Linked DNA regions of Rhinolophus ferrumequinum. The protein of the gene in region 3 interacts with the protein of the main gene of each other region in a pairwise test. Links are inferred from orthologs where the notes say so. Each region holds a gene or a part of one and is shown on either strand. Other genes may lie near its edges.

What was found. The genes of interacting proteins can lie anywhere in the genome.
Region 1: the proteins of SPRY2 (region 3) and UBASH3A interact in binary tests that used the Homo sapiens proteins (3 or more experiments, as listed by UniProt). The two-hybrid records come from large-scale screens. The link is inferred for Rhinolophus ferrumequinum from reciprocal best matches to the Homo sapiens genes SPRY2 and UBASH3A.
Region 2: the proteins of SPRY2 (region 3) and HSD3B7 interact in binary tests that used the Homo sapiens proteins (3 or more experiments, as listed by UniProt). The two-hybrid records come from large-scale screens. The link is inferred for Rhinolophus ferrumequinum from reciprocal best matches to the Homo sapiens genes SPRY2 and HSD3B7.

What each region holds. Positions count from the first base shown.
Region 1 is NC_046285.1:106,351,835-106,362,100, reverse strand, and holds the start of UBASH3A (ubiquitin-associated and SH3 domain-containing protein A), read right to left. Parts: upstream 4,461-10,266; coding exon 4,348-4,460; intron 2,406-4,347; coding exon 2,352-2,405; intron 1-2,351. Other genes in the region: TMPRSS3 (transmembrane protease serine 3), read left to right, coding at 9,272-9,292. UniProt on the Homo sapiens protein: Interferes with CBL-mediated down-regulation and degradation of receptor-type tyrosine kinases. Promotes accumulation of activated target receptors, such as T-cell receptors, EGFR and PDGFRB, on the cell surface.
Region 2 is NW_022680357.1:357,602-367,531, reverse strand, and holds HSD3B7 (3 beta-hydroxysteroid dehydrogenase type 7), read left to right. Parts: upstream 1-5,470; 5' UTR 5,471-5,620; intron 5,621-5,783; 5' UTR 5,784-5,888; intron 5,889-5,964; 5' UTR 5,965-5,970; coding exon 5,971-6,136; intron 6,137-6,325; coding exon 6,326-6,481; intron 6,482-6,782; coding exon 6,783-6,891; intron 6,892-6,964; coding exon 6,965-7,064; intron 7,065-7,222; coding exon 7,223-7,385; intron 7,386-7,711; coding exon 7,712-8,127; 3' UTR 8,128-8,771; downstream 8,772-9,930. Other genes in the region: histone-lysine N-methyltransferase SETD1A, read left to right, coding at 404-1,432, 1,795-1,967, 2,060-2,170, 2,327-2,446, 3,923-4,060, 4,159-4,332. UniProt on the Homo sapiens protein: The 3-beta-HSD enzymatic system plays a crucial role in the biosynthesis of all classes of hormonal steroids. HSD VII is active against four 7-alpha-hydroxylated sterols. Does not metabolize several different C(19/21) steroids as substrates.
Region 3 is NC_046287.1:30,473,672-30,483,997, forward strand, and holds the start of SPRY2 (protein sprouty homolog 2), read right to left. Parts: upstream 3,920-10,326; 5' UTR 3,401-3,919; intron 2,434-3,400; exon of another isoform or gene 1,625-2,433; intron 596-1,624; 5' UTR 545-595; coding exon 1-544.

The DNA of each region.
Region 1 (10,266 bases), on a different chromosome or scaffold from region 3:
CCACTGCATGGGTGACACGCACCAAGCATGTGGCCTTGTGTGGCCACAGAGCAGGTGGGTGTCCACTCAGGTCTGAGACCCAGGTTAGTCTGATTCGCACAGCATAGACCAAGAAAACGAGAGAAAAGCTCTTCCAATGACTTTGTTGGTCTAGCCATCTTCTTAGTGTTAAAAAAATTTTGTGGAAAAACAATTTACATTTTAATTTTATCTCAAACTTCAAATTAAACGTAAAAATCAAATCCACAAAGAAGGAGACAAAATTTAGTCAACTCATATTTTCTTTCAATTCAGGAAGTTGTTTTAGATACATGGGAAAATGACCAATAAGCCAATATTCAAGTTCATTCTTACTGATAATAAAAATGAGAATTAAAACAACTGTTTTAATTCTCATCTGTCAAATGAATGATGTGATTTCAAAGGGTAAAAGTCACGCTCAGTGGTGTCAAAGGTGGAGCAAAACTTAAGGCTAAGTCTGTGCAATCTTTACATAAAGCAATTTGCAGTACGTGTCAAGAGCCTTAAAATTCACATTCCATTTGAACGGAATTTCCAGGAATTCTACTTCCGCAAATTTAATGAAAGGAAAGAGCAAAAAGCATAAATAAAACTGCATGTATAAAATATTTATTGTAGGGTTATTTATAATAGGAAAGAAAGATGAGCTGAACGGTAGCAAATTTACCTATCTATTCCTTAGAAATTATGGTTTCAAAGAATTTCTAATGACTCAGGGAAGTGCTTGGGAGATAACCTTAGGTTTAGAAAGCAGTATGTAACCACGCAGGAACACATTACTTACGTGCAAACACATTCTGCCTGATAATAACAAAAAATACCAGCTGTCCCCCCTTTATCCTGGCTCCCTTCCCTCTTGGGGGGGCAGGTTTTCTTCTAGACATTTCAGTCATAAATCCATAGGTAGCATTTGTGTGTTTTATATAAATTATAAGCCATCGTCTAAATTATTCTGCAAGTAATTGTATGTTTTACTCAACAATATGTCTTCCCAATTTGCCCATGTGGACAACACACGCATCTAGCTGAGCTGTAAAACATCCTGTCAGGCACATGTGTGTAATCCTCCATTCGCTCATTCCATTGGTGCACATTTAAATGGTTTCCTTTTTTAATACCGTGATTAAGATTTTTGTACATTTTCTTATGCCCATTCTCCAGAGAATGTCTGTAGACTTGGAGCTGCTTGGGCAGGCGGCTACACACATGCTCGGTGTTGACTAGACACCCCAGATTGCAACCAGGAAAGTAAGCGATCACCCCTTCCGTCCCCTTCACCAGCATTTGAAGGTGCCCGTGGTTTCGAATGGCATCTTGATTTGCCCCTCCCTGATTACTAGTGAGGTTGGGCCCACTCTTGGCTGAGACTCGGGGACCCTACTGTGTCCCCGCTCCTTGGTGGGACTTGTAGTCTTACTGGCTGAGTCACAACCAGCAGGGACCAACCAGGGCCGTCACAGCAGTGGGACTGGTTTCTAACTCAAACTTGGCACCGACTTCAGAGCTCACCGAGCCCAGGGGGCCCTGGGTATTTCCCTCTGACCCGTGGAGGGGCTGCACACTCTGCCCTTGGCCTAGAGATCCTGGAGGGGGAAGGGTGCTGGACACTGAAAGGTGCACGTGCAGTCAGTGTCTGCCGGCCTGCTCTGCAGACAGCTCCGCCGCCTTACAGGAGCTGGTTTTTATTGTTTGATTCTCACTGTGACTGTCCTGGGGCAGAGCCAGAGGGGACTTCCCGCCGAGGGGAAGAAGATGGCCTCATGGCACATTCCGGCGGCCCAGTCTGAGAACGGGGTGCCCCCTCGGGATTCCCAGAGCAGACAACCGAGGCCGGGCGCCGTGGGTGGTGAGCCAAGTCACAGAGCGTGAGTGGCTGAGCCACCGGGAACCCAGCTCCTCAGCCTACGCCCCAGTCACCGGGCGCCCCTTAAGCTGCACGGTACCCATGCCTTAGGGGGCATTCATGACCCCAGGAAATTCTCTCCCTGTCAGAGGCAGCCCGAGGGAGTGGCAACCTCTGTTTTATATCAGCAAAAAGGGCTCTTCCCTATTTATTCAACGAATCACATGAATTGTCTCCTTTGCAGTCACATTTGGATTAAATCAGATTTTTAAGGGAAGAAAGCCTTGTTTGATGGTCTTTCTCTTTTGTTTTCTATTTGAAACTGGGCTCTTTCTTCCTTTCCCTGGTGCCGGGAGGCAGGCATGGAGGTGGCCCTGCCTCCGCCCCACCCAGACTGTACCGGGTACGTCCCAGTGTGCTCTCTGAGTCCTCAGGCAGGAGCAGGTCCGTCCACACACCCCGGCTCTGCAAAGACAGCCCCACTCACCACTCTGCTGCCTCCTCTGCCGTCTTCCTTCCCGTGGCTGCCAGTGCCTTCAGCCTAAAGGAAAACAGAACGAAGGAGCGTTGAGAACCCTGCCTTCCATTGGCTGGGAAAGAAAGGACGGGCAGGGATAGCCCTGCCACCCACCGGACCTCTGGAGGGCCCCAGGAGGGGCTGGACCGCGAGACTTCACAGCTGGGTACAGCACTCAGGCCTCCATCCTCCGCGTGGCCTCATTGTGGTTTTTGAAAATACAGATCTGCTCATATCCCCCTGCTGATTTTCCTTTGGTGGCTCCCACCTCCAGTCCTTGGCACAACCCAAGGGCCCATGCTCTCAGGCTCACCCACACCTGCAATCCCGTCTCCCCTGCCCTCCTCCACAGCCAGGTGGACCCACTCCCGGATCCTCCAGTCAGCTGTGAAGGGCCATCCAGGGCCCCGATTGACACACCTGCCTCCCCACCAAATATGGCCCTCGCCAACATGCCCATGGTTCTTCCACACTCAGATCAAATGCCCCTCTTCCAGGAAGCCCCCCCAGACCACCCACTAGGGTGGACCTGCAGCCCCTCCTGTGTTTCCCCACTGCACATGTGGTCACCACTCTTCTCATCTCAATGGACTTGTGTCCATTAGCCTCCCCTCTCAGCCTCTGGGCCCCTGAGGCCTAAGCGTTGTAACTGGACATATATATATATATTGAGTTGAACTGAACTACACAAAATTGAACAGAATGGAATATGGCTAAGGGAAGTCATTCAGGAGTTCAGCCGGAAATAGCTGGAGGTGATGAGAAAGCCAGGGGTTGCTGCCCAAAGCTGCCACCCTGTGAACACCGACAGGATGTGCTCTCTGGAGAAGCCTCGGCCTGGAGCCTTACCTGGGACACCCCAGCCTAATGAGAAGCTTAAAACATGTTTCCTGCCCCCATACGGCTAATGTTTGAATGTGAAGGGATTCTGAGTATGTGTCCACACCACAGCGGCAGTAGTGTGAGAAAACGTGGACTTCCGGCCCTGCCCTACTACCAGCTGCCCCTCTGGCCTCAGTGTCCCCGTCTGTACCTGATGGCAGGTGCCCAGGGCGGAATCCGCACACAGCAGTCACTCTGCTCACGCTGGTTCCCGTTCCCCATTTCCCAGGCCCCCGGTTTATTATGAGCATGAGGTGAGGACAAAGTTCTGATCTGGTTTGGAGAAGAAGGGGCTCTGGCCAACTTCAACATGATTTCATCCACTGGGGTCAGGGTTTTGTGATAATGTTTAAGGAAAGTTTGCCCCCCTCCCAAATCCAGAGTTACTCAAGGGGACTTCTGACGCGTTTTTCATGTGAATGAGCACGTGAAAGGCCCAGAGCTAAGAGTCTCGTTTCCGTGGAAGCTGTAACCCAATGTCAGTACCATAGTTCATTGCTTTGGGGTCCTTCTTCCCTCTCTGACAGGGGTCACTCCTAAGGTGAAAATTTCCTACGTGTGGTCGTTTACCTTGGGTAACATGGGTTGGGTAGTTCCTGAACCATTTTGTTTCATTATCAGACATTCAAGAGGTTTTCCCTAAGGATGAATGGTCCCCTGCTCCATTGAGAAACACATTCTCCTCTCAACAGGTCCCAGCACTAGAGACTCATGGGTTTCGGGGCCTTTCAAATTAGTTTAAAATATCATCTCAGAGTCCCCGAGCTGCCCACAAAGAGGGTACACAGGCCCTGAGCTCCTCCAAACCCCGAGAAATAGGGGCACCACAGTGACACATGGCTTTCAATTTTCACAAATTTCAGGGTCCTCCCCCCATCAGCCAGCTGCCAGAGTTTTTCTTTAAAAGGCAAAGGTCATGTCATTCACGAAAAGCAGGAAAGGGCCTTATTTTGAGACTGTATCTCACCCTGCAAGCAGAACCCCTTGACAGGAAGTAAGCGCCCTGAGCAGCCAGTGTTTTGCGGCTGGGACCTCAGAAGGGTCAGGCTGGGGGTCTGGGGCAGGCCCGCCGGGCAGTACTCACGCGGTGTGTGCCGGGAAGCCCATCCCCAGGAGGGGGTCCAGGAGCGAGGTGGTGCTGCGGCCCTTGAGCTTGCTGTTGACCTTGGCGTAGACCTGTGTCTCCCCGGCTGCCATCTCTTCCTGCCTGCAGACTGAAATGAGTAGATAAAGCCAGAGAAGGAGAGGCAAGAGAGGCTGAGGCTGCGAAGAAAAACCTCAAGTCTTTTTTGATCTTTCTGACAAAAGTTAATATCCTGTTTGCATGAGATATTGGTTTTCAGAATTCTCTTTACAGGGTGCTGGGGTGTAGCGTCTACCAACCCTGTTTTCACAGTGGGGGTTGGGTGTCAGAGGTCCAACCGAGTCCCTGTGTGGGATCAACCTTTGCTCTGTATTTGGGAGCAAGTCTGCCTGGGAGGGAGGGAGTGGAGGGGCGAGGGTTCTCCACTGGGTCCCACTGGCCACAGAACCCCGTGGGACCCTGGATCTTAATTTCCTTATCTGCAAACAAGACATCACGCTACACTGTATCTATTTTCCATGTTTACGCTAAAAGTTTTGGTTCTTTTAGTTATTCATCAACTTCTTTTTCGATTTTAAAACCTTGTAAAGTTTAACACACACTCAGAACAGTTGCTGTATTGTATGTGTACAGATCCACGAATTTTCATAAAGTGAATACACCCATGTGACTCCTCCAGGACTAGCAATAAAACTGTGGTCCTCAGCTGGGGGAATTCTGGCCCCTGGCCCCAGGGACCATTGGCAATGTCTGGAGGCATTCTCGGTTGTGTCAGCTGGAGGAGGGGGTGTTTGTTACTGGCATCTAGCAGTCGAGGCCAGGGGTGCTGCTCTGCCCACGAAAGCAAAGTATCCAGACCAACACACGAACAGCGTCAAGCCTGAGACACCGTCCTCTAGGTCCTGCTAATCTTCTCCGAATCATTCCAATTTTAGTATATGTGCTGCCGAAGCAAACATAAGTACAATTAATTTTTATGTATTGACAACATATCCAATAATCTGGCTCAGATCACTTATTAATTCTAATATTTTGTAGAGTCTTTGGATTTTTCCATGTGCCCAATTATGTAATCAAATCATAACAATTTTCCTCTTCCTTTCTAATATTTCTACACTTTATTTCCTCTTCTTGCCATATTGTTCTGGCAAAGGCCTTCAGTGCCATGTGGAATAGAATGGCTTTTTGGTAGCTACCTTTATTCAGACTAAGAAAATTCCTTTTCACTCCTAGTTTACTGGTGTTTTCAAAGATTAGTGGATGTTGCGTTTTATCAAATGCTTTTCTAGCATCTATTGAGATGATCATATTGTTTTCCTCCATTACTCAGTGAATGAGGTAATGTACACCAAGGGACTTTTGAATGTCAAATCAACCTTGTTTTCCTAACATAAAACCTCCTTAGTCAGAATATGTTATCCTTTTTATGTATTGCTGGATTCAATTTGCTCATATTTTGTTTAGAATTTTTGCATCAACGTTTGTAAATTAGCTTGGCCTGTTGTTTTCCTTTCTCGTAATTTCCCTGTGGGGTTTTGGTGTCAGTAGAGCGATCAACTTTTTCTGATTTTCCTGCAGCTTTCCTGGTGTTAGCACTGAAAGTTCCCATCCTGGCAGCTCTCTCAGTCTCAGGCAAACAAGGACAGTTGGTCACCTTAAATGTCAGCATTATTCTGGCCACATGAATGAGCTGGGATGTATTTCCTCTTTCCTGATTCTCTGGGTTTTTGTGAGATTGGTATAATTTCTTTCTTAAATGTTTGAAAATATTTACTAGTAAAATCATCTGGACCTAGAATTTTCTTTGTTCAAAAGTTTCAAATTGTGAATTTAATTTATTTAACATATATAGGAGTATTCTTCTTATACCTGTTATATTACGTTGTTTTTCAAATAATTTGACCGTTTTACCTAAGTTGTCAAATTCCTGGCATGGAATTGCCAGGTCTTCTTTATTTTCTTCCAATTCTGTTACATAATTTTCTATGTGGAAGCCTTGCAGTATTTATTAGATTATTTTTAGGTGTTGGATCATTTTTGATGCCACTGTAAATTATATATTTAAAAAATTTCATGTTTGTATTCTTTTTGCTGGTAATCAAAATACTATTGATTTCACATTGAACTTATATCCAGAAGTCTTGCTTGACTTACTTATCAGTTCTAATCATTTATCTTTGTCCCAAAACAGTTTTGTCTATGATTAATGATAGTTTTATTCATTTCTTACCAGTGCATATTCTTTTCTTTTAAAGTTTCTTCCCCGCCTCTTTCATTTCTTTTTTCTTCTTCTTTTATTCTGTTCCCTTTTTATTCTTTTATTTTTTTCTTCTTTCTTTTTTTTTGATTTTATTGAACTGGCTTGGACTCTAGTTGTTGACTAGAAATGGTATATATCTATATAATGCATCTACTTGTATTGTTCTCCATCTCAGAGGAAAAGGCGTCAATATTTCACCTTTAAATGAAAGTTTATATTTTAAAATAATATCTTTTTTCTTTGAGGGATTCAAAGGATGAAATAATTTCATTATCAAATAAATTATATATCTTAAATTCGAAAGTCTGAAAATAGACAAAGCTTGTTACCCAGAGGGAAAAGAGTAGATCTGGGGTCTGAAATATAGCCTCTACTCACATATATTTTTTCTCTTCTAAATAATAAACCACTTTTTGAGCAATTGTGCTTATAACATGTTAAAATGTAAATTTCTTTTTCTAAAAAAACCCTTAATTGTGTAAGTGAGGAAATGCCCATTTATCTCAATCCCTTTTCTTAGCTTGAAAAGTTACCTTCCAAGGCCAACAGAGGAAATATTAAAGCTTCCTAATGGACAATTTCGCCTGTGACTGACCCCCAAAGCCTCTCTTCCCTGCTAAAGGAAGGGGTCAAGGTGGCGACTGAGACCTCGCCCAGAACTCAAGCTGTGTGCAAAGGGCTATGAAAGCCTCACAGCTTCTGGGGAGTCCTCGGATAGGATGTCCCTTCTCACACCTCCAAACCAAGACTACTTAAGACACCAGCTTGATGAATACCAGATGCAACCCTAGGTATGCCGATTTCTGCTTCCTTAATGATTTAATTTTGAACTTAATTGATTTGTAGGTAAACTTTCTGCGAGACTGCTTTATGGTGGTGGAAGTTTAGCAACCCTCATGGACCCTCTCCTTGCTACCCCCTGGCAAACCAGCTCCACCTTTGACCTCATCTGACATGCAAGCCAACTCGTCAACAGATGTTCACACTTGTGAATGTGACCTGTGACTACAGAGTCTTGTTAACCCACTTGGGTTTCTGCTCAGCTCATCGATGTACGTGGAACCCATCACACACTCGTTGTCCAGGCACCGTGAGAGCACATTCTGGACTCTGTCCTCCAAAGTCGTGCTCCAGGTGGGAGCAGGACCTACCACTCAGGAAAAAGCAAAGAAAGATTGAGTTCTAAGTTTCTTGTCACTGTCTTTGAGGGCAAATACTCATTCAGGGAATGGAGAGGAGTTAGGAAAGATGTGAAGGAAGGAGCAGAGTTTGGAGGATGCTCTGTGTTCAGTCCGGAAGCCATTGATTGGTAGGTGCATGAGCAGGGGCTGGAGGCGGGAAAACACGTCTGAGGCCAACCATGACTGGCTGCATGTCTCCTTGGCTGCTGCTGCCATCTACAATTCCCACCAACGCTACCTTCACAACAACCCCAATTCCAGCCCTCTCCTCATCAGTACCACTAGCACCTTACGATTTAACTTTTGTAACCTCACGGTGGCGGAGGTTTTCAGTAGCCCATCTGGGCTCTCAGTGCATCCACCTGACGCCCCCCCCCCCCCCCCCGCACACTCAGCGCACAGGCACAGATCCTGTCTTGGCGCTTCTCGGCTCCTCCGTGGCTTTTCATCACACAGAAATCAAACCGGAGTCCCTGCAATGGCCTGGGGCCCCCATGAGTTGTCCATTGATCTCTTCAGGCCCATAGGCTTTCTTGGGGTTCTTCAAACACCCCCAGCTCATCTTCTTGGGTCTTTGGCATTGATGGTCCGGTCCTTGGAACAACCTCTCTTCCTAGCTCACAAGACACTTCATCCCATTATCGAGGTCTCCCCTGAAACAGCATTTCTCCCTAGAGGCCTTTCCCACTACCCTGTCCCGTCACACTCAGTCTCTCCCAGCCTCATCCCATCCTAGCATTTGTCATCACCTGAGACCACAGGTGAACGCTTTGACCCCTCTGCCATATGCTCTGTGTCTCGATGCCTGGCTCGTGGCCGATGGCCCATAAATATTTGCTGAATAAATGAATGCATGATTTGTATCCACCAGCCTTCCAAAGGGGTTCTTAGTCCCCAGCCCACAGCAGCAGGGCTATGTTCTCTCGTGATAAAACACCTTTAAGCTGTATTATGTGCAGAAACCTCTTGGGACAAAAAGGTCTCTGCAAAATGGAGCGTGCAGTGTCTCTGTGAGAACACATCAGGTTCCCTGTTTTTTGTCTTCAGAGCAGCTGCAAGTCTAGACTTGGGCTTAGTCACATGGGGGGACAGAAACTCCCACCAAAGCGTTTTCCCTGCCCGCTTGGGGTGCTTGCTTTGCACTGGGCAGGACCTACCTGTTCTTTTAAATAAAAGGAGTGCCCGTGTTTCAAAGACTCTGTTATGTGAAGTTTCTGCAAAGGTTTGCTTACCTTCCTTACTAATTAAAGGGAAGTCACATTTTCCCCTCCCCAGCCCCCCAGTCCTACCGCCAGGGGCTATCTGATAGCCCCACGGGGGTTGAGTTACACAGACGCCCGCGATAATGCCATTTGCTGCGATGATTGAGTCGACAAGGCTGAGTGACTTGGTGGAAATACTTCCCGATTGGACTCACCTGTTGGCAGCCTGCTTACCAACACGCTTGCTTTTATCATGAAAAAGAAAATTATTTCTGCTCTTAATGATGGCGGCTCCAGAAATGGTGAGTAAAGTAGAGGGAGGGGAAGAGAAGACTCTTCTAAAAGATGACTCAGCAACATTTCTTGATGTTGTGAAACCTGCCAATGACGGCCTGTTGGGAAGGGACCTCCTTACCAGGCTCCAATGTTTCAGGAAGTGCTTTATCATTTATTTTTATTCTTGTTATAAAGTGAAGCTGTGTAGTGTGCCACATGCTATGGGAACCATCCAGTGTCCGCAAGAATCAAAGTAAAAAATGCTACTGAATGTATTAGTTTTCTAAGAGATTTTTCAAAGTTATTCTTGTGATGGAAATGAAATAAATGTCTTTAGCGCATAAATATCTTGCTTAGATTTTCCTACGATCACGTGAAAGAGCACGAAAACGAAGCTGGTTTTAAATGGCTTGATAATTCCCTTTTGAATTTCAAATATTACAATGAGTAAACAGAAAGAAAATAAAAGCAGATGCTCTAAGTACCTATGTTTCTGTGCCTGTTGGAACCTCTGGATTTAGCACGTTGAGGACGCAGGTTCTTAGAGAATCATGCCTGAGACCTGGGAAGCAGACTGGGATTTAGTTAGAACGCTCGACCATCCTCTTGCTCCCTCCGTCCCTCTTAGAGTTTCTGGAAAGGACTTCCTGAGGCTCCAGCCTCTTGGCCTGTGATAGGAGGGATTCTCTTGGAGGAAACAGAGCCCCAGTGTAGCTTCAGTGCACGCCAGCCACTCCTCCCTTTGCTATGTGGGGGGGGGGGGACTGGGCACCCCAGGGCCCGGATACTTTTATCCTTAATTAGGTCATGCCTGTGCGAGCCAGGAAAGGCTTGTGCTTGCGGGAAGCTACAAATACTGTGGGCAAGTGTCCCCTCCCTGGGGCCATGGACATTTTGGGGACGCAGACATTATGTGAGTATGAAATCTTCTTATGTTTGTGGTTGGCGTGTCACATGCGCAGGCCAAGGGTCGCGTTTACGTGGGACAAACGGCAACGAC
Region 2 (9,930 bases), on a different chromosome or scaffold from region 3:
GGTGGATATAGTTCTGGAGGCCGAGGGTTTGTTTCCTTTGAGCCCCCCTCTCCCCACTTCCCCCTTCCCCTTTGGGGCTGTGATTTGTTTCCTGTAACTGTTGGACTTCGAAGTATCTGCTCAGTGATTTTTCCATACCTGACATGAAGTTGGTGCTCAGTAATGTGGAGTGTATGAACGCACAGGTGCAAACCCCTCCTGTGGAGGGGACCACAGCGCTGGAGACACTGCAGGTGTGACGGGCAGGAGTGTCAGGGACGGAGGACAGGATGAGTGCGCCCCCTCCCCGCCCCCAGTGCAGAGGCAGCTGGGGGGTTGTGGACGCCCCGGGCGGCTGGTCGGTCTGGCGATGGTGGGCCGAGAAGCTGACCCTCTCCCCTTCCCTGTGCTGCTTCCTTCCCAGGATCTGCGGAGGAGCCAGCTCACCGAGTGCCGCAGCCCCCGCCAGAGCCACCGGCGGGGCCTCCCACCCCTGCCCCCCGCCCTCACGAGCGCCCCTCCTCGCCTATCCCCCTCCTGCCCCCACCTAAGAAACGCCGGAAAACCGTGTCCTTCTGTGCCGTGGAGGAGGCACCAGCCCCAGAGCCTTCCCCGGCGGCCCCCCTGCAGGTCCGGTCTCCTGGCCCCAGCTCCCGCAAAGTCCCCCGCGGCGTGGAGCGGACCATTCGCAATTTGCCCCTGGACCATGCATCTCTGGTCAAGAGTTGGCCCGAGGAGGTGTCCCGAGGAGGTCGGAGCCGGGCTGCCGGCCGAGGACGCTCCACTGAGGAAGAAGAGGCCGAGTCGGGGACAGAGGTGGACCTGGCGGTGCTGGCCGACCTGGCTCTGACCCCCGCCCGGCGCAGGCTGGCCGCCCTGCCTGCTGGCGACGACTCGGAGGCCACGGAGACGTCGGACGAGGCCGACCGCCTGGGCCCGCTGCTCAGCCACGTCCTGCTGGAGCACAACTACGCTCTGGCCGTCAAGCCGCCACCGTCCACGCCGGCGCCGCGGCCCCCGGAGCCTGCGCCTGCCCCCGCCGCCCTGTTCAGCTCCCCGGCGGACGAGGTCCTGGAGGCCCCGGAGGTGGTGGTGACCGAGGCAGAGGAGCCGAAGCCGCCGCAGCGCGAGCAGGGGCCGGGCGCGGAGGAGGAGGGCTCCGAGTCGTCCGAGAGCAGCAGCAGCAGCGGCAGCAGCAGCAGCAGCGACGGCGCCATCCGGCGGCGCAGCCTCCGCTCGCACACGCGCCGCCGCCGCCCGGCCCCGCCCCCGGCCCCGCCCTCCGCCTTCGAGGCTCGCAGCGAGTTTGAGCAGATGACCATCCTGTATGACATTTGGAACTCGGGCCTGGACCTGGAGGACATGGGCTACCTGCGGCTCACCTATGAGCAGCTGCTGCAGCAGACGAGCGGGGCGGACTGGCTCAACGACACCCACTGGGTCCACCACACCAATATCCTGAGTCCAGGCCCCGAGTGGGGTGGGGCGGCCTTCCCGAGGCCACGCGGGAGTGTCCCCCTCCCTGTCCACTTTTCTGCCATCTTCCGGCCTCCTGGCTTTCTCCTCTGCGTGGTGGTTCTCCTCTGGCCACCAAGCCACCCTTCTCTCTGCCCCCTGCCTCTCTTCCGCCTCCCAAAGTTTTTCTGGCAGAAAGGTGCTCTAAGACTCATTTCTCCTCATCCTTCTGTCCTCCTCACGCCACACGCTCAGGCCCTCCAGCGAAGGTCAGCCTGGGGCTGGGCCTAGGGGGACGGGAGTGGGGTCGTAGGGATCTGGGCGGCAGGAACCCGCTCTCTTCCTTAACGCGCCCTGCACTCACCAACCTGAGCGCTCCCAGACGCCGGCGGCGGCCCCAGGACGGGCCCCGGGAGCACCAGACGGGCTCGGCCCGCAGCGAAGGCTACTACCCCATCAGCAAGAAGGAAAAGGACCGGTACCTGGACGTGTGCCCCGTCTCAGCCCGGCAGCTGGAAGGGGCGGACACTCAGGTGAGGCTCTGCCCTGGCACAGGCCCCGCAGGCATGCGCCCCTGTCCCGGGGTCTGTCGTCATCTGCTCCCTCGGTGTCCTGCTTCTCACAGGGGACTAACCGGGTGCTCTCCGAGCGCCGGTCTGAGCAGCGGCGGCTGCTGAGTGCCATCGGCACTTCTGCCATCGTGGACAGCGATCTGCTGAAGCTGAACCAGCTCAAGGTGCGCCCGGAGCTGGGGAGGGGCAGCGTCCCTGTGGAGTCCCCTAGGGGTGGGGGTGGGCCCAGAAGCCAGAAGGCGCTCCTGGCCTGGAGGGCTGCAGGGAAAGCCAGGAGGCCGCATGAGGGAGGCCTCCAGCAGCCTGCCTTCTGCCTGTAGTTCCGGAAGAAGAAGCTCCGATTCGGCCGGAGCCGGATCCACGAGTGGGGCCTGTTTGCCATGGAGCCCATTGCAGCAGATGAGATGGTCATCGAGTATGTGGGTCAGAACATCCGCCAGGTGAGGCCCCATGCCCGGCCCAGGTCTGATGGCAGCGTGGGATGCCGACCTGAGGCCCGCCTACCTCTGCACAGAGCCCCACAGACCTTCCAAGAGTTAGCCAGTGCAGCCTGCCTCCTTTTTGCCTTTGTTCTCCTCCTTTCTTTCCTTCTCCTCCTCCCTCCTTCTCTCACCCCCACCCTCTCCCTTCCCGCTCCCTCCCTATGGGTAATGGGTCCTAGTAAAGTAGTAAACTAGATGTAATGACCCAGCAAGAAACAAGACTAATATTGTATCTGCCTTTAAGGACCTCAGTTCAGTGGGGAAGGCAGGTAAACAGGCAACGCCAGTAAAGAATGGCAGTTGTTTAATGCAGAAGGGAAGTCCAGAGAGGCAAGGGCAGTTTGAGCAGTGCTGTGTGTACCAGGAGCTGGAGGAGGAGGAGCTCCAGCCTCAGGTGGGGGAGGGGGGCAGCATGTACGCGGGCCTGCAGGCAGAGAGTCCGGAGGGTACCGAGGCGAGGTGGGAAACTGCAGGCCATTGGCTGCCGTGTACAACTGGGGCGGCCAGTGGCCGCCAGACTGCCCAGAGCTTACGAGCCACGTCAGGTTCGGACTGATGGTGAGAACAGTGCAGAGCATTAAACGTGAAGAGGGGACTCCGGGGGTCATCAGCTCCCTCGGGTGAAGAGAGAACTAGACTGAGACTAGTGGGGGGTGGGGGGCTGTCGTAGAGACCAGACAAAGGCGGGGCACCTGCACCCGGCAGTGGCCGCCAAAGGAGCTGGCAGGACCAGGCCAGGCCACAAGTTCGCTCTGGAGGATGAGGGCAGGGCTGGAGCCGTGCCAGAGTCAGGAATGAGGAGGACTCGCAGATGTGCAGTCAAGATGGGCTCCAGTCAGAACGCTTGAGGTTCCAGTGCCGGGGGGCCTCTAGAGGGTGACACCCAGCAGGCCCTCAGGTGGACTGGGGCTGGGGCTGGACGATTGGGGGAGCCCCCAGCACTTAGCTGGCAGTTGAAGCCCCGAGCGAGAGTCCCCCTGCGGGGAGAGTGCAGGGGGCTGTGCCCCACTTTCTGGGGAAGAGTTAGTTATTCCTTGTCACGTAAGAATGTTACAGGCCAGTGGGTCCTGTGAGGAGGCGAGTCGGGTTTGGTCCATGAAACGGCCACTGTCATCTCGGGCACTGCCGCAGCCCCACGGCACACTGGGGGCTCCACTGGGGGCCAGTGGCTGCTTCTGCCCGGTGACCAGTGTGGACTCCCCCGCCCGGGGTCCTCCGAGTGACTTAAATAGCAGCCGAAGGGACAGTGGGGTGGCTGTAGGAGGGACGCAACGTTGGGGTGTCCACGCCTGGGCTGAGTGGGAGCCAGAGGAGACCTGCAGTGGCCCCAGGGGGTCATGGAGATTATCCAGACTCCCATCACAGGGCTGGGGGACCCGCCAGTCTGGCAGGAAGCTGGGGGGCGGCTCCCTGACTTGGCACCCCCCCTACCAGATGGTGGCTGACATGCGGGAGAAGCGCTACGCGCAGGAGGGCATTGGCAGCAGCTACCTGTTCCGGGTGGACCACGACACCATCATCGATGCCACCAAGTGTGGCAACCTGGCGAGGTTCATCAATCACTGCTGCACGGTGTGTGGGGGGCGGGGCCAGCGGGCGGGGCGGGGCCATGGGGGCGGGGCCGGGGCCGCGGGCGGGGCGCGGCTCACTCCGCCCCCCCCACCCCGCAGCCCAACTGCTATGCCAAGGTGATCACCATCGAGGCCCAGAAGAAGATCGTGATTTACTCCAAGCAGCCCATCGGCGTGGATGAGGAGATCACCTACGATTACAAGTTCCCGCTGGAGGACAACAAGATCCCGTGTCTGTGCGGCACCGAGAGCTGCCGCGGTTCCCTCAACTGAGGCGGGCCAACTGGCGCCCACACCCCTATTTATTCCCCTTGGTGCCCTGAGCTCCCAGCCCCCCAGCCTTAGTGGGCTCAAGAGGGCCCACATGCCCCCAACTCTGAATATGGAGCGGGGAGCCCTGAGCCTTGCAAGGGAGCCTCAGCCCCTTGAGGCAACTTGTGCCTCCCCTGTCACTCCTCACCCACCCCCTAATTTTTTTTCTTTGCGGAGAAGAAGCTGTAAATGTTTTGTAGCTGCCAGCAGCTGTTTCCTGTGGAAACCTGGGGTGCCAGCCTGTACAGATCCTGTCCTTGGGGGATGCACACCCCCCTCGCTTTGTGTTAATGGGGCTTCCCCTTCGTGCCCTGCGTGCACCCCTCCCCAGTTCAGGGGTCTCGAGGGGCAGTGGCCATGTTCTCCCCCTGGGGGGGGCCTGCGCCCCCCAGTCCTGGGGACTCCGTGCCTGGAACCCTGCCTCATCGTCTGTTCCTGCCAGGCCCCGTGGGTCACCCTCCCACCCTGGTGTCTGGAGGCTCGCGCAGCCAGGCCGGGCGGTGGAGGGGGCAGGCCCTTTCTGTTGGGCTGGATTGTACATATGTTAATAGCACAAACCCAATGCCACATTTTTATAATTGTGATTAAACTTTATTGTACAAAAGTGCTTGTTTGGTATATTTGGGGAAGAGTAGGGTGGGATCGGGGTTGAGGACAGAGGGTGGGACAAGTGAAGGGGGGAACTGGGTGGCCTGGAGTTGGCGTGAATAGAGAGGCTTCGGGCCAGAGCCCAGACCTGCAGACTCAGCCACCATTGCTCTGAGCCACCTGATCGGCTGGAACAGCCATCTAGAAATCCCCCACTGAGGCCAGCCAGAGCTGGCCAAGGTCAGGCCTCCCTCCCCTTCACAGGACCACAGCTGCGGCTGAGCTGGCCCCTGGGAAATCCAGCAAGCCGGGAGGGCTGACGTCATGCAGTAAGAGTGAGGTCACCCTGCCTGCTCCGTTCTGAGGCCGGAAACCCCGCAGCGCCCACCCAGCAGGTTTTGGCTTCCCCACCGCCCTTTTCCCAAGTTCTTTGCTGGAACCAGATGCCAGAAAAAGCACAGAGTGGCCGCCAGGGGGCGACCGGTAGCAAGAGTGGGGAACGAACGGGTGGAGGTTGGGCTGGGCTGTTCCTGGAATGGGGAGGAGGTAGGAGAAGCAAGCGGAAGGAGAGGACGGTGTGTTGCTGGCCGGCTGGCCCAGGACACGAGAGAAGATAGCCCCTCCGGCGGCCAGTCTGGGCACCCTGGGACCGACGCTGCAGGTAGGCAGAGGTGATACCAGGGGTCCCTTCCCCCTGTCCTGGCCCTGCCCACATTTCTCCGCCTTCCCTTCCCAACTCCCCTCCTCCCGCCCTGTTTTTTGTCCCAGAACCTCCCCCTCTACCTCAAACCCTGCATGCCAAGCCCTCACCTTTCTTATCTCAGTAACTGCCGTTGGCCGGGTCAGAGGGCAGGTAGCCTGGCTGCTGCATCCACTAGGACCAGGCCTGGTCTGTCCATTTGGCCGGAGGCCCCTTTAAGGAGTAACAGGTGGGCTGCTGGTGCTGGAGCAGGTGGTGGCTGGTGGTGACAAGCCACCCAGGTGAGCCAGGTTGTCTTTCCCCAGCAGGACATGGCCGACACTGCACAAGCCCAGGAGCTGGTGTACCTGGTCACAGGTGGCTGTGGCTTCCTGGGGGAGCATGTAGTTCGCATGCTCCTACAGCGGGAACCCCGGCTGCATGAGCTGCGGGTCTTTGACCTGCACCTGGGGCCCTGGCTGGAGGAGCTGCAGACAGGTGACCGTGGTAGGCAGGGAGGGGGGAGGATGTGGGCTCCCTTCACTGGCGGAAAAGATGCTGCCTGTTCATGTTCCTCAGTGCACGTGGGTGGAGTGAGTCACACTGGGAATGTCTGCCTCCCAAGGGACTAGGCTGAACCAGCAGCTGGCGGTGGCCCCAGCTCTGACGGCCCCTGTCCCCTCCCAGGGCCCGTGCAGGTGACTGCCATCCAGGGGGATGTGACCCAGGCCCACGAGGTGGCAGCGGCTGTGGCTGGAGCCCACGTGGTCATCCACACAGCTGGGTTGGTGGACGTGTTTGGGAGGGCCAGTTCCGAGACCATTCATGAGGTGAACGTGCAGGGTGAGGGACTCTCCACCTGCTCTGAAAAAGCACCTAACACTTCCTGGCGCACACACAGCCTGATCTGGCCTGTCTGTGTCCCTCTCCCCCCTTTGACCTTGACCTCTGATTCTCCTGTAACACTCTGTCTGTCCTGTGTGTACTTCCGCCCCTGTCACGGCAGGCCGGCCCTCTCAGGCCTGCTGCGGTTTTCCCTGGACCTGGGGAAGGAAGCCACGTGCCCTCATCCAGATTTGGGATGGGGGAGGGGAGGATGCAGAGGGAGGAGGCTTCAGTGTGGACACATACCCCGCACCTGCAGGCACACAGAACGTGATCGACGCTTGTGTGCAGACTGGAACCCAGTTCCTGGTCTACACGAGCAGCATGGAAGTGGTGGGGCCCAACATCAAAGGTCACCCCTTCTACAGGTGAGCTGACGTCCCCCCGGTTCTTTAAGAGCCCCACCTCCCCTCAGCATTAAGTCTTCCGTCTCCCCCACAGAGGCGATGAGGACACCCCATATGAAGCAGTACACAAACACCCCTATCCTCGCAGCAAGGCCCTGGCTGAGCAGCTAGTCCTGGAAGCCAATGGAAGGAAGGTGAGGCTGGATGGAGCCGACGCGATGCAGAGCCACGGCCAGCGGGCTTCTTTGCCTCCTGCCCTGGGCGCCTCCCTCCCACCTCCAGCTGGAGGAGGCTGGGGCAGAGGGTGGGCCACGGGGTCCCAAGCTAAGCAGTGCCTACCTTTGGTCCCCAGGTCCGTGGAGGGAGGCCCCTGGTGACTTGTGCCCTGCGTCCCACCGGCATCTACGGTGAAGGTCACCAGATCATGAGGGACATCTTCTACCAGGGCCAGCGCCTGGGAGGCCGGCTCTTCCGGGCCATCCCAGCCTCTGTGGAGCACGGCCGGGTCTACGTAGGTGAGGCCTGGGCAGGACCCGCTTGTTCTGGGGGGTGGGCTGCCCTGGAGCCTGGCTAGAAAAAGATGGTCTATGCACAGGCCAGGGTCGACTGTCTGTAGGCATTGTCGGCACGGGCCGCAGAGGGAACAGCATCCAAGCACGTTGGGAAAGGCAGACACACAAGTCACGGGCTGAGGAGAGGACTACCGTTATGGCAGCAGCGTGTCCCTGGGAGGAGCAGGGCCCCAACAGGAGGTGGCTTGTACCCGGGCTGGCCAGGAAAGAGCTGAATTGCTTGGTGGAAAGGACGCTCAGGGGCGTGTCCACCCCATCCCCACCGACAGGCAACGTGGCCTGGATGCACGTGCTGGTGGCCCGGGAGCTGCAGCAGCGAGGGGCACTCATGGGTGGCCAGGCGTACTTCTGCTACGACAGCTCGCCCTACAAGAGCTACGAGGATTTCAACATGGAGATCCTGGGGCCCTGCGGGCTGCGGCTGGTGGGCACCCGCCCGCTGCTGCCCTACTGGCTGCTTATGTTCCTGGCTGTGCTCAACGCCCTGCTGCAGTGGCTGCTGCGGCCGCTCCTGCTCTACGCGCCCCTGCTCAACCCCTACACGCTGGCGATGGCCAACACCACCTTCACAGTGAGCACCAACAAGGCTCAGCGCCATTTTGGCTACGAGCCCCTGTTCTCCTGGGAAGACAGTCGGACCCGCACCATCGGCTGGGTGCGGGCCATGGACGGTTCAGCCCCGTGACAAGGGCACTGGGGCCTGGGGCCCGGCCTGGCACGTCCATCCAGCCCTCAAACCCTGGGTGGGGAGGGAAACCTGCATTCTAGAGCTGGGGGGAAGGTCCGGGGCCAGATGGCCGTCCTAGAGCTCTCCACGCGTTAAATCGACCCGTGAGCCTTGAGCCCGTGTCCTGATGCCTCCAAGTTCCAGGGCACGCACGTCGTCACTCTCCACCCAGGCCTGACAGCGGGTGGGCGAGGGTCTGAGTTTCCCGATGTTCTCAACTGCCCCATCCCACACTGGCTTTTCAGTCAGGAAGTGGGTAGGTTTCCACAAGCCTCGCGCTGGCCTTCTGACATCCAGACGGAGCCTCGGGCCTGGATTTAGAGCGAAGAGGCTTTCTTGTTCCTCCTACCTACCACCTTTGTCCCTCCTGGGGGCGAGGGGTGGGGTGGGCGTCATATTCCCATTATTGGAAAACCTTGACCATCCTTAGATGTTTCTCTTCTCATTATCTTGAATGAAACCTGAGGAAACCTGTGTCTTCACTTCTTCCCACCCCTGGAAGCCCCGTTCAGTTTCTGCAATATTGTGAGAGCCCTGCCTGAGGATGCCCCAGTAATTCTGTACCTGCCCAAGCCCTGGATTAAAATACCTTACGAAGCCTGCGTCCAGCCGCCTGCCCAGTCACCCAGCCCACCTACCCCCATGTGTCTCCCTGACCCCACGGCGCCCATCCCCTGTGGGGACAGAAGGAAGTCAGCACGCAGCATGCCCGCTGTTGGATTGGTTGCTATTTCTCCCGTCCCACGGGGCCCGACCCGGCCCAGGGTGGGGGTGGGGGGCTCTGGGGACAGGACATGCAGGGCTGGGGAGAGAGGGCAGAATTTTCCTGTGTTTTATCCATTTGCAACTTGGTCACCAATAGAGAGAAATGGGTCTCTGAGGGCTAACAGGAGAGGGTGGCCTGGCTCTGGGCCCCCAGCCAGGCCCCGAGAGTCCTGTCCCCTCCGGGGAGGAAAAGAGCTCTAGAAACCAATGGAGAAACAGAAGGGGTAGGGGCTCATGTCAGCAAACACGGCTACATCACGTGACACGCCAGCGACACGGAAACACACGCCAACGCACACGGCTGCACAGCGGGCAGGGGCAGGTGGGGGAGAAGGGAGCCGGGGGCCACCCATCTTGTCCTTTGCGGGGCAGGCGGGGGGGGCAGGGTAAATGCATAGAACACATCATGTACACACGCTCAAGGCGTGGCAAGAGTGTGCGTCAACCCACAGGCACATGGGATGGACACGCGCAGTGTGCTTCGTGAGAGGCAGGGCTAGGGAGAAGGGGGAAGGGAAGCAACGAGCCCTGGCCAGGCCCGGGACCACCCACGGGGCACACGTGGTTGTAGGTGTGGGAAGGGTGGGCAGCACACACTCCTCTGAGAACATGCAAAAGACACTAGCCCCCAGACAACACTCCAGGACACACACAGATACAGCAGCCACCAAGCAAACAACGAGCACGGGACTTGTGGAAATTGGGGCATAGCAGACCCTCGGGGTCCCTCCAGTCCAACTGAGGCCCAGAGATGGGCAGCTAGAGAACCACTACCACTCGAGGAGGCAGTGGCCTCACTCCAGCCATGGCCCCACCCTTCTCCTTGCAGCCCCTAGGCTGTGAGAATTCCAGAAACACCTGGGCTGAAAGAGGGTCCTGGCTGGGCAGCAAGAGGAAATGGGGCGGCTCGGCCGGTCTCAAAGAAGCCTGAGAAGGAGCAGGAGGGCTGCAGTCAGACATGGGCAAACTTGCCGCCCTGCAGAAGGGCATTCTGGG
Region 3 (10,326 bases):
CACAGTCCTCACACCTGTAGGCATGCAGGCCCAAATCTTCCTTGCTCAGGGGCTTAAGCTCACCTGGTTTGAGCTCGGATTTGGGCTGCACCCGGATTATCCCATTAGTAACCGGCCCAGAGGAGAAAGATGGTCCCAACAGTCTCTGTTCAGAGGAACTGCTGCTGGTACTTGTCCTCGTACTGCTCCGAGACCCAGAGCTGACTGTGCTGATGGACCTGGACAGAGGGACTCTTGAAGAAGAATGGACCTGCGAGTGCTGGAGCCTGGGAGGCTGGCGGTGCTCGGGCAGACCATGGAGTCTCTCGTGTTTGTGCTGAGAGGAGGGGCGAGGAGCAGGCTTGAGCCCAGGTCTCGGGACCACAGTAGGCCCCTCTGTGTACTCATTGGTGTTTCGGATGGCTCTGATCTGATCCAGGGACAACACGTGTACCTGCTGGGTGAGGGTGTCTCTGGGGTCAGGCTCCCCACGCTGCCTGCCATTGTCACGGGGTGCCTGCAGCAAGGGCTGCGACCCACTGCCACTCTGAGCTCTGGCCTCCATCAGGTCTTGAAAGTGTGGTCACTCCAGCAGGCTTAGAACACATCTGAATTCCTGTGGAAAGCAAGAGGAAAGAGTAGGTTTACACTCCAGGATACTTCCCCACTCTCCACCCACCTGAGTTAACTCTTCACTTCCCACTTCCCCTAGAGAAAGAGGATTTGAAATGGAGTGGTTGTGGAGTTTATGAGAATAGCCATATGATCAATGCCTGTAAAATTATGGCTGGGTATTGACAATTCTTTAATCCTGTGATGTGTAGTGACACAAAGCTAGTCTTTGTTTCAATTACATAAGTATCAATTCCTTATGCAAATAAACAAAATTTCCAAGGGTCAGGTTCAATGTAAAAATGGCAAGAAAGTAATGTTAGAACATAACATTGCTACCGACATTTTCAAAAGTTGAACACCTTTTCCAAATTTGAAACAGGTTTAAGATTATGGCCATTTGTCTTAAATGTCAATGAATACAGTTGGAATTTCTAAATTCCAACTTTAAGTCTGATTTTACATCAAATATCTTGAACTATGATTTATCTAATATTCTGTAACTTTATAAAAATCCCATAGGATGAATAACATGTAAAAAGTAAGTATTTCCCCACCAAGGAATATTTATAAATTTTACAACAATCATGCATTACCTTTAACTGTATAGTGGCAAAGGTATAGAATTAAAAAGCGAATTGATTCAAATCTTGTCAGGTGCCAGAAATACAATAACGCAAACTACACAACAAGCAAAACAGGAGCTTATTTTCAACTTCTCAACTTTAGAATCAAATATATAATATTTTACAGCTTGACTGTCTAGAACTTCAATTCTATTGTTGAAAGACTGTTCTGTTTTAGAAGTAAATTATGTCAAAATCTTAAGTTGTTTGCCCATCTCCAAAAACTTAATAGTTGAGAACATAAACCGGCTGCTGATAACAGGAAGGGTTTTAAAAATTCAAGTGCCAAATCTCAAATCTATCATTCTGACAAGTAATCGTGTAAACGACAATCCGTTTATAAATTTCAAAACTATCATCCCCTTTACCACTAAGTCTACAATGAAGAAAAACGGCGAAACCTGGACCTTTATCCAACCTCCACTTTTTAGAAAAGGGACACAAGCAGGTGACACACGCCTCCCAATTCGGAACAAGGCAGAGCTGGAAACCGGATCTCACTTGCAACAGAAAGGCAGACAAGACAACGATGCTCTTTGCTTTCACTCCGTTTATCGACTCTATCTGCGCCTCAACACCGTCTCCAGCAGGTGGGACACAGTCGGGGCCCCGAGGGACTTTATTCCGGGTGGACTGCTGCAACCTAGAGGCCAGGCTGGACCCCCTGCGCACAATTCCAAGACCGACAGACAGGAGGGGGGCGCGGGCACCTCGGAAGGGAACGTGCTGTGAAACGCTCGAGCACTTCCCCCTCCCCTCCTTTTCCAGCTAAAATCTACCCCGCTCCAGATAACCGCCTCCCATCTCTAAAACGGAGCTCCCACTCTATTCTCAGGCTGAGGTCACGTAGCCCACCACAGGGCGTTCCCGAGAAGGATCTCGAACATCAGGCACAGGTTTCCAGCCCCGAGGCCAAGACGAAAGCCGGACACAGACCCGGGACACCGAGGCACCCACGCACACTGGGCGACTCCACTGTGCACTGACCAAAGAGACACTGCCTGCAATGTTTTCACGCCTATGTATTAAAATATACACATACACACACCTGTATTTCTTAAAATAAAACAAGAATTGTTTAAGGAAAGAGCATTTTTCTGGGCCCCACCCCATTGCACACGTCTGGCAGGCAGGAACCAGATCCCTGGACTGGGAACTTTCCGCGCAGATTTGCTTGCAGTGGAATGGAGCATCTTTGGGAGGTTTTTTTTTTTTTTCAACAAAAGTGATTTCTGTCGCTTTCTGGCCTCCTTCGCAGCGTCCCCCACCCTGCGTGCTCCCCCATTCTGCCCCCACGCCCCGCGAAATCCCCATTAAGAATTGTATCATTAGAGTAAGGATTAGGGGAAAAGGACTTCAGCACAGGGTGGGGCAAACCGACACAGAAACTGCTTTGTAAAAGACGCACAAGATTCCGAATTAAAAAACAGCAGCAACAAAAGTAGATCAGCCAAAGGAAATAAAAAACTAGCCTCTTTTGCCACCTATTTTCAGGTAATGGAAAATGATCGCGACCGCTTGATGACTTTCTTCCGGTGTTGGGTCAGCCCAATCTTCCAAAAATAAAAAAAGCATGACCCAGGCCGACCACGGAGAACGGAAAAAAGAGAGAGCTGCACTTCCGAACCGCAGAGACCCGGCGCCAGGCAGGGCGACGCTCCCACCCGCACCCGGCTTGCCTCTGTCCACACCGGACAGAGGCGGGGGCTCCCTCCACCCGGCACTCCGTCCTTTTTTCACCCACGGGGTCTCGCTGCCCCCGTGAGGCGAGCGCCTCGCGTGGCCCGGGTCCCGCCGGCGCCACTGCCCCGGGATAGCCTCTCCCAGGACTTGCCTTTCCCGGAGAGGAACAGGTTAGAAATGCGGGCGCCTGCAACGACGACCAGGAAAACACTAAGTGTTTTCCCTCCCTCTCTCGCTCTCAGCGCCGAATTCGCGGCCAATGCAGGGCCGGGAGACGACTCGAGGCGAGACGTCCGTCACCCCAACTGCCCAGAGTGCGGGCGCGTGGGGCCGGGGACACTACAACGCGCACGCAATGCAGCCCCTGCCGGGAAACTGCGGGGTTAGAGAAAGGAGGCCGGAGGAGAGAGACCCCACTCCCGGTCCGGCTGCACCTACTCCATGTTGCCCACAAAGCGCCGACCACAGCGCCAAGAGTTGAGGAGCAGAACGCGTCTCACCGTGATCGCGGCTTTACACCAACCCCTCTCCGTTGGATCTCTTCTTCCTGCGATGTGCAAATAAATCCAGCCCCGATGCAAACTTTCCCCCCGCCCCCCTTCTTTCCAAACTCTGCTCCAGTCCAACTTCGGAGCAATCGGCGGGAGTAAAAAAAAAAAGGAGAGGAAAATCCGGAGCCAAATCCCCGGCCGTAGAACACTCCGGGGTTCGGGGCTGGAGGCGACCCCCTTTCCAGAGCGCACGCGGAGTATTTCCTTTTTTTTCTCAATGAACTGGAGGCCGAAGCGCCAACGGCGAGTCTCTTTTCCTGGCAGATGAGCGAATGAGAAAAGAAAACGGCCTTACAGAGACCCTAAGGCCAGATGGCCAAGTCGTGCAGCCACCACCGCGTCGTAGCGGAGGCGGCGCGAGGGCGCGGGGCCGCGGGCCGGGCCGGGCGGGCGCGGGGGCCTGGGCGCTGCGCGCTCCGCCGGCCCCTCTCCTTCGCTCGCTCTGCGGCGTGCAGCTCTCGGCAGTGCAGACTGGGCGTTGTGGAGGCGCGGCGGCGAGGCCGAGGCGGGGGCGGTGGGTGCGGAGGAGGAGGAGAAGGAGGAGGAGGAGAAGGAGGGTCTGGGGCCCGGCCGGGGGGGCTCGCCGTTGGCCTGCGCCCTCGCCTTTCCGGAGGAGGCAGGGAGCTCTGCGGCGGCCGCGGCAGCAGTAAATGGCGTCATGTGGATCCGAGGCGGAACAGAGCAGTTGTTGTCCCAGAGGATATATCGCATCCGGTCCCAGCTCATTGGCTCCGCGGGGCTACATTCACTCACACTCCAGCGCCCGCCAGCGCTCTGAGCCGCAGGAGGCATTCAAAAGGGCAACCGCGCCGCCCCGCGCGTCCCCAGGCCGGTCCTGCCGCCCGGGCGCCGTCACGCGGGGCGCCTGCGGGGCCGGACTGGGCACGGCGGGGTCAGTTTATCTAGTTTCAAGGAAACACTGACCTTAAGGTTTCCCCAGAGCCCTGGAGGACGAGCCATGAGGAACTTTCTCCTCGCCACTAGGAAACGGGAAAGAACATTTAAAACTAATCCGGGCCATGGAGTGTTAGCATTTAAAACAAGTTGCAGGTTTTGAGACTTTATTCGGAACCCATTTCAAGCCCACCTCTCCCTATTTCTGACCCCTACCCCAGGGGGCGACGAAGAGAGAAAAGGGGGGAGGGGGAGGGGAGCGGGAAGTGAGGTGGGAGGGCTATTGGTTTATTCTTTGTCTACTGGATTAACCCGATTATACACCAGGCACCAGCACAAACCGCCTCCCCCACCTCAGAGCCTTGTACAAGGGGAACGGAATGCAGATTCGGATTTCAAGTACCTTCTGCTCTGGCCGTGATTTGCTTTTGATTTTATTGATTTGTAGATTTCGGTTTAATACTAGGTTTTATTTTTAAAAGGGGAGTTTTTGGATCTTTCTTACTGTTTTCTTTGGCACAACACTGAAGGAAATTCTACAATCTAAGCCTTAAGATTAGTTAATTCAGTAATACACGTATACACGATTACTAAGGGCGACATTACCGGCTTCTGAAATGGGAGGGGGTCTCACTGTTCCACTGCAGATTTCCTCCTCCACTTACCCAGAAGAGTCATCCTTCATTTCCTACTCTCCTTGTCATCTAGAACATTTCTCAACAAGATCCTATTGTCCATTTTGAAGGTGGACCGTGTTTTCCTACGTGCTTAAAAAATAGAAATTAACGCTAGAAATGCATACATACGCACTGCTCTTAACTGCCGTTCATTTACCAAGATACGTGCTTGTACGTGGGAGCACCAGTGAGAAATTAACACCCCCCGCAGCCACACTCCTATTACTGGATTCAAATGATTTACAGAATGTTTTTACTTTACAGGGAAGTACGGTTAATACTTCCGAATAGCACCTGCAATCTTGCCCCCGAGCGAGGTTAGAGTTCTTGAAACAGTGCTAGGAAAACGTGGTGCTTGATTCCTCTGGTCCAGCTCCAGTCCACCACCGTTCGCAGCTACCCTGGCACTCGCTGCCTTCTCCACAGCTCTCCCTCTAGAATGTCCCAGTGCGTACCCTGCCGCGCGGCGCTCTCGCCTTGCCTTCTCCAAGTTTCTCCAGGGCTCACCCCCCTCGCCCGGGGTTTGGAACTTAGACACAGCAGGGGAAGTGGCATGCGTTATTTCCGGGCGCTGGCCTATGTACCCCCACTCCAGGTGAGGGTGGACCAGGCTACGTCGGTCGTCTCCGCCGCTTCCCGGGTGATGTCGACTCGGCCTCCGGGGTTCCCGGCCGCTAGCCCGACGCCGGAGTCCTTTGAGCCTCTGGGTGAACGCAGGCGTCGCGGCGTTTACGAAACGTCCGACCACCAGGGGGCGCCCTCCCGGCGCGAGGCTAGGGCTGTTTTCCTATTACTCGACGACGGTAGGAGAGGGTGCCTTTCAAAATGTGCATTTGGCCGGCTGGTTCAAAATGAAAAAAGACATTTATAACACAAATACCACAGCAGGTAGCTTCCCCTACTGTTTCCTCGGACACATTCCGTTTGGAATGCGAGATCAGGTACCTAGGTTCAGAAAAACTTCAGCTCTTACAAAGAGGAAAGAGTTGGGAGCCAAACCAGGTTTGTTGCAAGGCTGGTATGGAACGTGCTGCCTGTCTGTGGTCAGCGAGTCTCAGGCAGGACAGGTGAAAGAAACGCCTTTTCTTCTTCTCTTTTAACCCCTGCACCCGATGGCTGCCACTGGAGACACTTGTGCCTATGCTATTTTCCCAGCACTGCAGGAACTCTGCGAAGACAGGTAGTTCTGGATCAAAGCATAAAATGGAATTTAAGTCAGTAGCTTCCGTCTGGTTAAAGGACGTTATATTTTTATTGAGTCAATAGGGAAGAAACTAGGAATTTACATTTATCTTTCATGAGCCAGAAAGAATCCATGCAATCTAGCTCTCCCCTCCTCCCCCACAGCCTCCAGCTTGCTGGCTAGGAAAACATTTAACCTATAATTTAAGCACAACGTGAAAACAAGAATCTGTTGGATTCTTTCTAATTTATTCCTTACTATTTATTTTACTTAGTGCAATTATTATTATTTTTCAGACGTGGTATATAAAGCAGTGTATTGTGCCTTGAAAGTTTTTTTTAGGGAGTTATAATCCCAAAGAGAAATTATGTTTATGTGTGTGCATGTGCATGCACACACAATGGCGTGTTTCGTGCAGCTTTTGTAATGTGTTCCCAAAGTGATCTTCATGTTGCATTCCAAAATTACGACTGGGATTAATTTTGGAAGATTCTTCAGAATTATGAAAGAATGTCATGTAAAACTTCACAATGAAGTCCATTTTCAAATGTGTTGTGGAGAGTTCTAGAGAGGTAACCTGGATGTTTGAGTAATGTTGCCATTTGCCCAATGTTGAATCCATGGAAATTTGTGCTGCACCAAAGCTCACCTCCAAGTTCTGGGGGACAACACCAGGTGGCATGCCTTCCTAGTCCTAACCACTGAACAGGACTGTGTGTCATAGAGTTGGGATCTCTACCTTCATTTTATTTTCTGTATTCATTTATTTGGATTTGCTTCATTTTTATAACGATAATTATTCTCAATTTCTTTTTGTAAAAGAGGCAGTGTATAAACTTACGTGAATTTTGTCTCCCCCAGTCTTTGGTAGAAGATATCAATAGGGATAATAAATGTAACCATGCTTCTTTACCAGTAGGTATGTGGGCTGAGTTAAGTCAGATATTTTAGAGGTTGCATTAAACTCACCTAAGCTTCTGAATTATGTGTAGTAATGGGAGAATGTAGCTTTAAACAACTCTAGTTCCAGTTTCTTTGTGAGACCGACTAAACCACTTGGCCTTACTGGCTTCAGACCCAGTTTTGATAACACAGAAAAATCTTGCAATGGTAAGATGCATTCTGGAGACAAGAATTAATAGCAATTGATTACTTGTTTATTTGGTTAGTTTTATAACCAAGGCAATTGACTTATGTATTCACATTTAAAGCTGGCCCAGAAGACACCAGTATATACTGCTTCCAAGAGTAACAATTTAGGTCTTTCAACCATTATTTCTCCTCATATCGAATTGCAGTAGTAAACCTTATTTGTGCATGAACTCTTCCAGGAGAGACCTTTCTCAATTCAAGGGCTTTGCAATAATAGACTTTTGGATTTGGCAGCCATGACTGTAATCATTTATCTTTTTGAATTTCTTTGATTTTCCAAATTCTATTGATACTACCTCTAGAAGGGAATTGGGAGTAGCTGCACTAAAAGATGCAAAGGAATTCAAAATAGACCACTTGAGTTCTTAACTAGATAGCTTGGAGATCTGGGGACAGTTTATCTCTGCATCTACCCTTCTTTGGTGATGTCCTTTATCCCTAACTAAACTGAGGGAAAGATCTGGAGTTATTTCAGGGTAAGAGTGGTTGTGATGAGTTGATCTTGAACTGGAGGCTCCTGTGGGTCTGGTCTTTTTCAGAGTTCTAATTTTCAACCTGATGTTTTCTATTGGTCAGTTAATCATCCTGCTAGATCTATGCACATTATTGCTACAACTCATGCAAAGTCAGATGTGGACTGAAGATCTGCAACAAGGCAACACAATATTTCTGTGCTGGCCAACATTATATTTCCAATGTATTTGTGCCTTGACCTGAAGATCAAGCTTCTTCATTTGTAGGACTGATGTGCGGAGAGAAAGTCTAGTCAGTGAAAACACTGCATTGTTGCTTTGCCTTTCTGCCACATAGCCCAAGGTTTACTTGTTTTCCTGTTTAACAGTTGATTGCTTCTGTTCTGGAATCTTTTTAACACAGACGCTACAGCTTCTTATAAGTGAAAATCATAAATTGAAATAAGTATTTGGATATTATTGGCCAAGTTAGGTAGCAGTAGGAAGATTTTAGCCTCTGAATAAATAGGAAGTTTTGGTTTTATACTTCTTATTATGTAGACACTTGATCAAAAGGGCATAGGAAGTTCAAACTGTTCTCTAAGGAAGATGTAGTTAAACAGATTCCACTAAAGCCATTCTTACGGTCCAGATGTCACAATATTAAGGCTGCCAGCCAGCCCCGAATCAATCTCAGTTAACAGGTCAACTTTTAAAATATTCAATTTGGTAAATGGAATAAGATTGTATGCAGATTTAATTTGTTTGTTCCTTTGGACAGGAAGTGTTTTGAAGTTACAGTGATTTGTGAATCATTTGAGAATATTGTGGGGTTATATAAAACAGCTTTTCTATACATACCCTATGTTGGGTGTGACTCTTTAAAAAGAGTATTCCAAGGATCTGGAGAGTCTGTATCAGGCCTTCTTTAGACTTCTTCGTTATGGCCTGGAATGGAAATAGAAAGATTCTTTACCATCTCTTTCTTTTTTTTTTTTTTTCATTTCCATTATCATGAAATAATATCTTTTTCCATCCTTTTACTTTCAGTCTGTTTATGTCTTTCTTTCTTTTTTTTTTTTTTAAAGATTTTATTGGGGAAAGGGAACAGGACTTTATTGGGGAGCAGTGTGTACTTCCAGGCCTTTTTTCCAAGTCAAGTTGTTGTCCTTTCAATCTTAGTTGTGGAGGGTGCCATTCTGCTTCAAGTTGTCCTTTCAGTCTTAGTTGTGGAGGGCGCAGCTCAGCTCCAGGTCCAGTTGCCGTTTTCTAGTTGCAGGGGGCATAGCCCACCATCCCTTGCGGGAGTTGAACGGAAACCTTGTGGTTGAGAGGACTCGCTCCAACCAACTGAGCCATCCGGGAGTTCAGCTGGCAGCTCAGCTCAAGGTGCCGTGTTCAATCTTAGTTGCAGGGGGTGCTGACCACCATCCATCCCTTGCGGGACTGGAGGAATTGAACTGGCAACCTTGTGGTTGAGAGCCCACTGACTGGCCCATGTGGGAATCGAACTGGCAGCCTTCGGAGTAAGGAGTATGGAGCTCTAACCACCTGAGCCACCGGGCCGGCCCCATCTCATTCTTAAAAAAGAAAATATTCTGATCTCCATAAATATTAGACACTCAGTAAATGCTTTTTAATAAATGAAATTAATATAATTAAAATAAGTAAATATTTTGCATCTTAATTTTGTAACGGCAAATTAAGAGATTTGGAATTTCTTAATGACAGAATTTAAGAGTCACTCTACTAGCCTGGAAATTACTATTGTGTTTTGCATAATTATCAGGAAGTGACAGAAACAAGTTTGTTAAGGCTATGATTTTTAATTCCTGAATAGTAAATATTATACATTTAAAAAATAAATCTATATGGAATTTTTATGTAAGGAAGGAAGATTGTAGGGAACGCCTATTCTTAAGCTATATGATAAAGAAATTAACAAACAGGCTGATAGAGAATATAGGTAAAAGTAAACCCATGAATTTCTTAGTTTGAAAAGTGCAAAAGTACGACTATATTATTAAAATTAAATACTAAACTGTAATTTCAAATTAAACTTTTAAGGATGCGTTTTAAAAACAGCTGCAAGAAAACCACCAACTAGTGAATGATTTTGCCTTTCATAGTCTTTGTGAAAATCTCCTTGTCATTTTCAGAAACACTCTTCTCGCCCTGGTCTGACAGTGCAGAGACATACTTGTATTATACCCTAAAAGATGTTAAAATTATGCACTTGCAAAATTAGAAATTAGTTCTTCAAAATGATCATCTTTTATAAATTTCTTTTTAACTGTAATTCCTAAAAGAGAATAGTACTGAAGCTTGAACTCTTAAGTATACTAATACTTTCTGAAGGCTCTGGGAGTTTAAATAAGAGATCTAGGTTTGGGGTCAGTCTAGGCTACTTTGGGCCAACCTGAAGCATTTAAGCATCCTTGGCTTCTGATTATTCCTAGGATAAAGATTCAAGTCCTTAAGCCAACTTCAAGGTCCTACAGTACAGCCCCTTTCTAT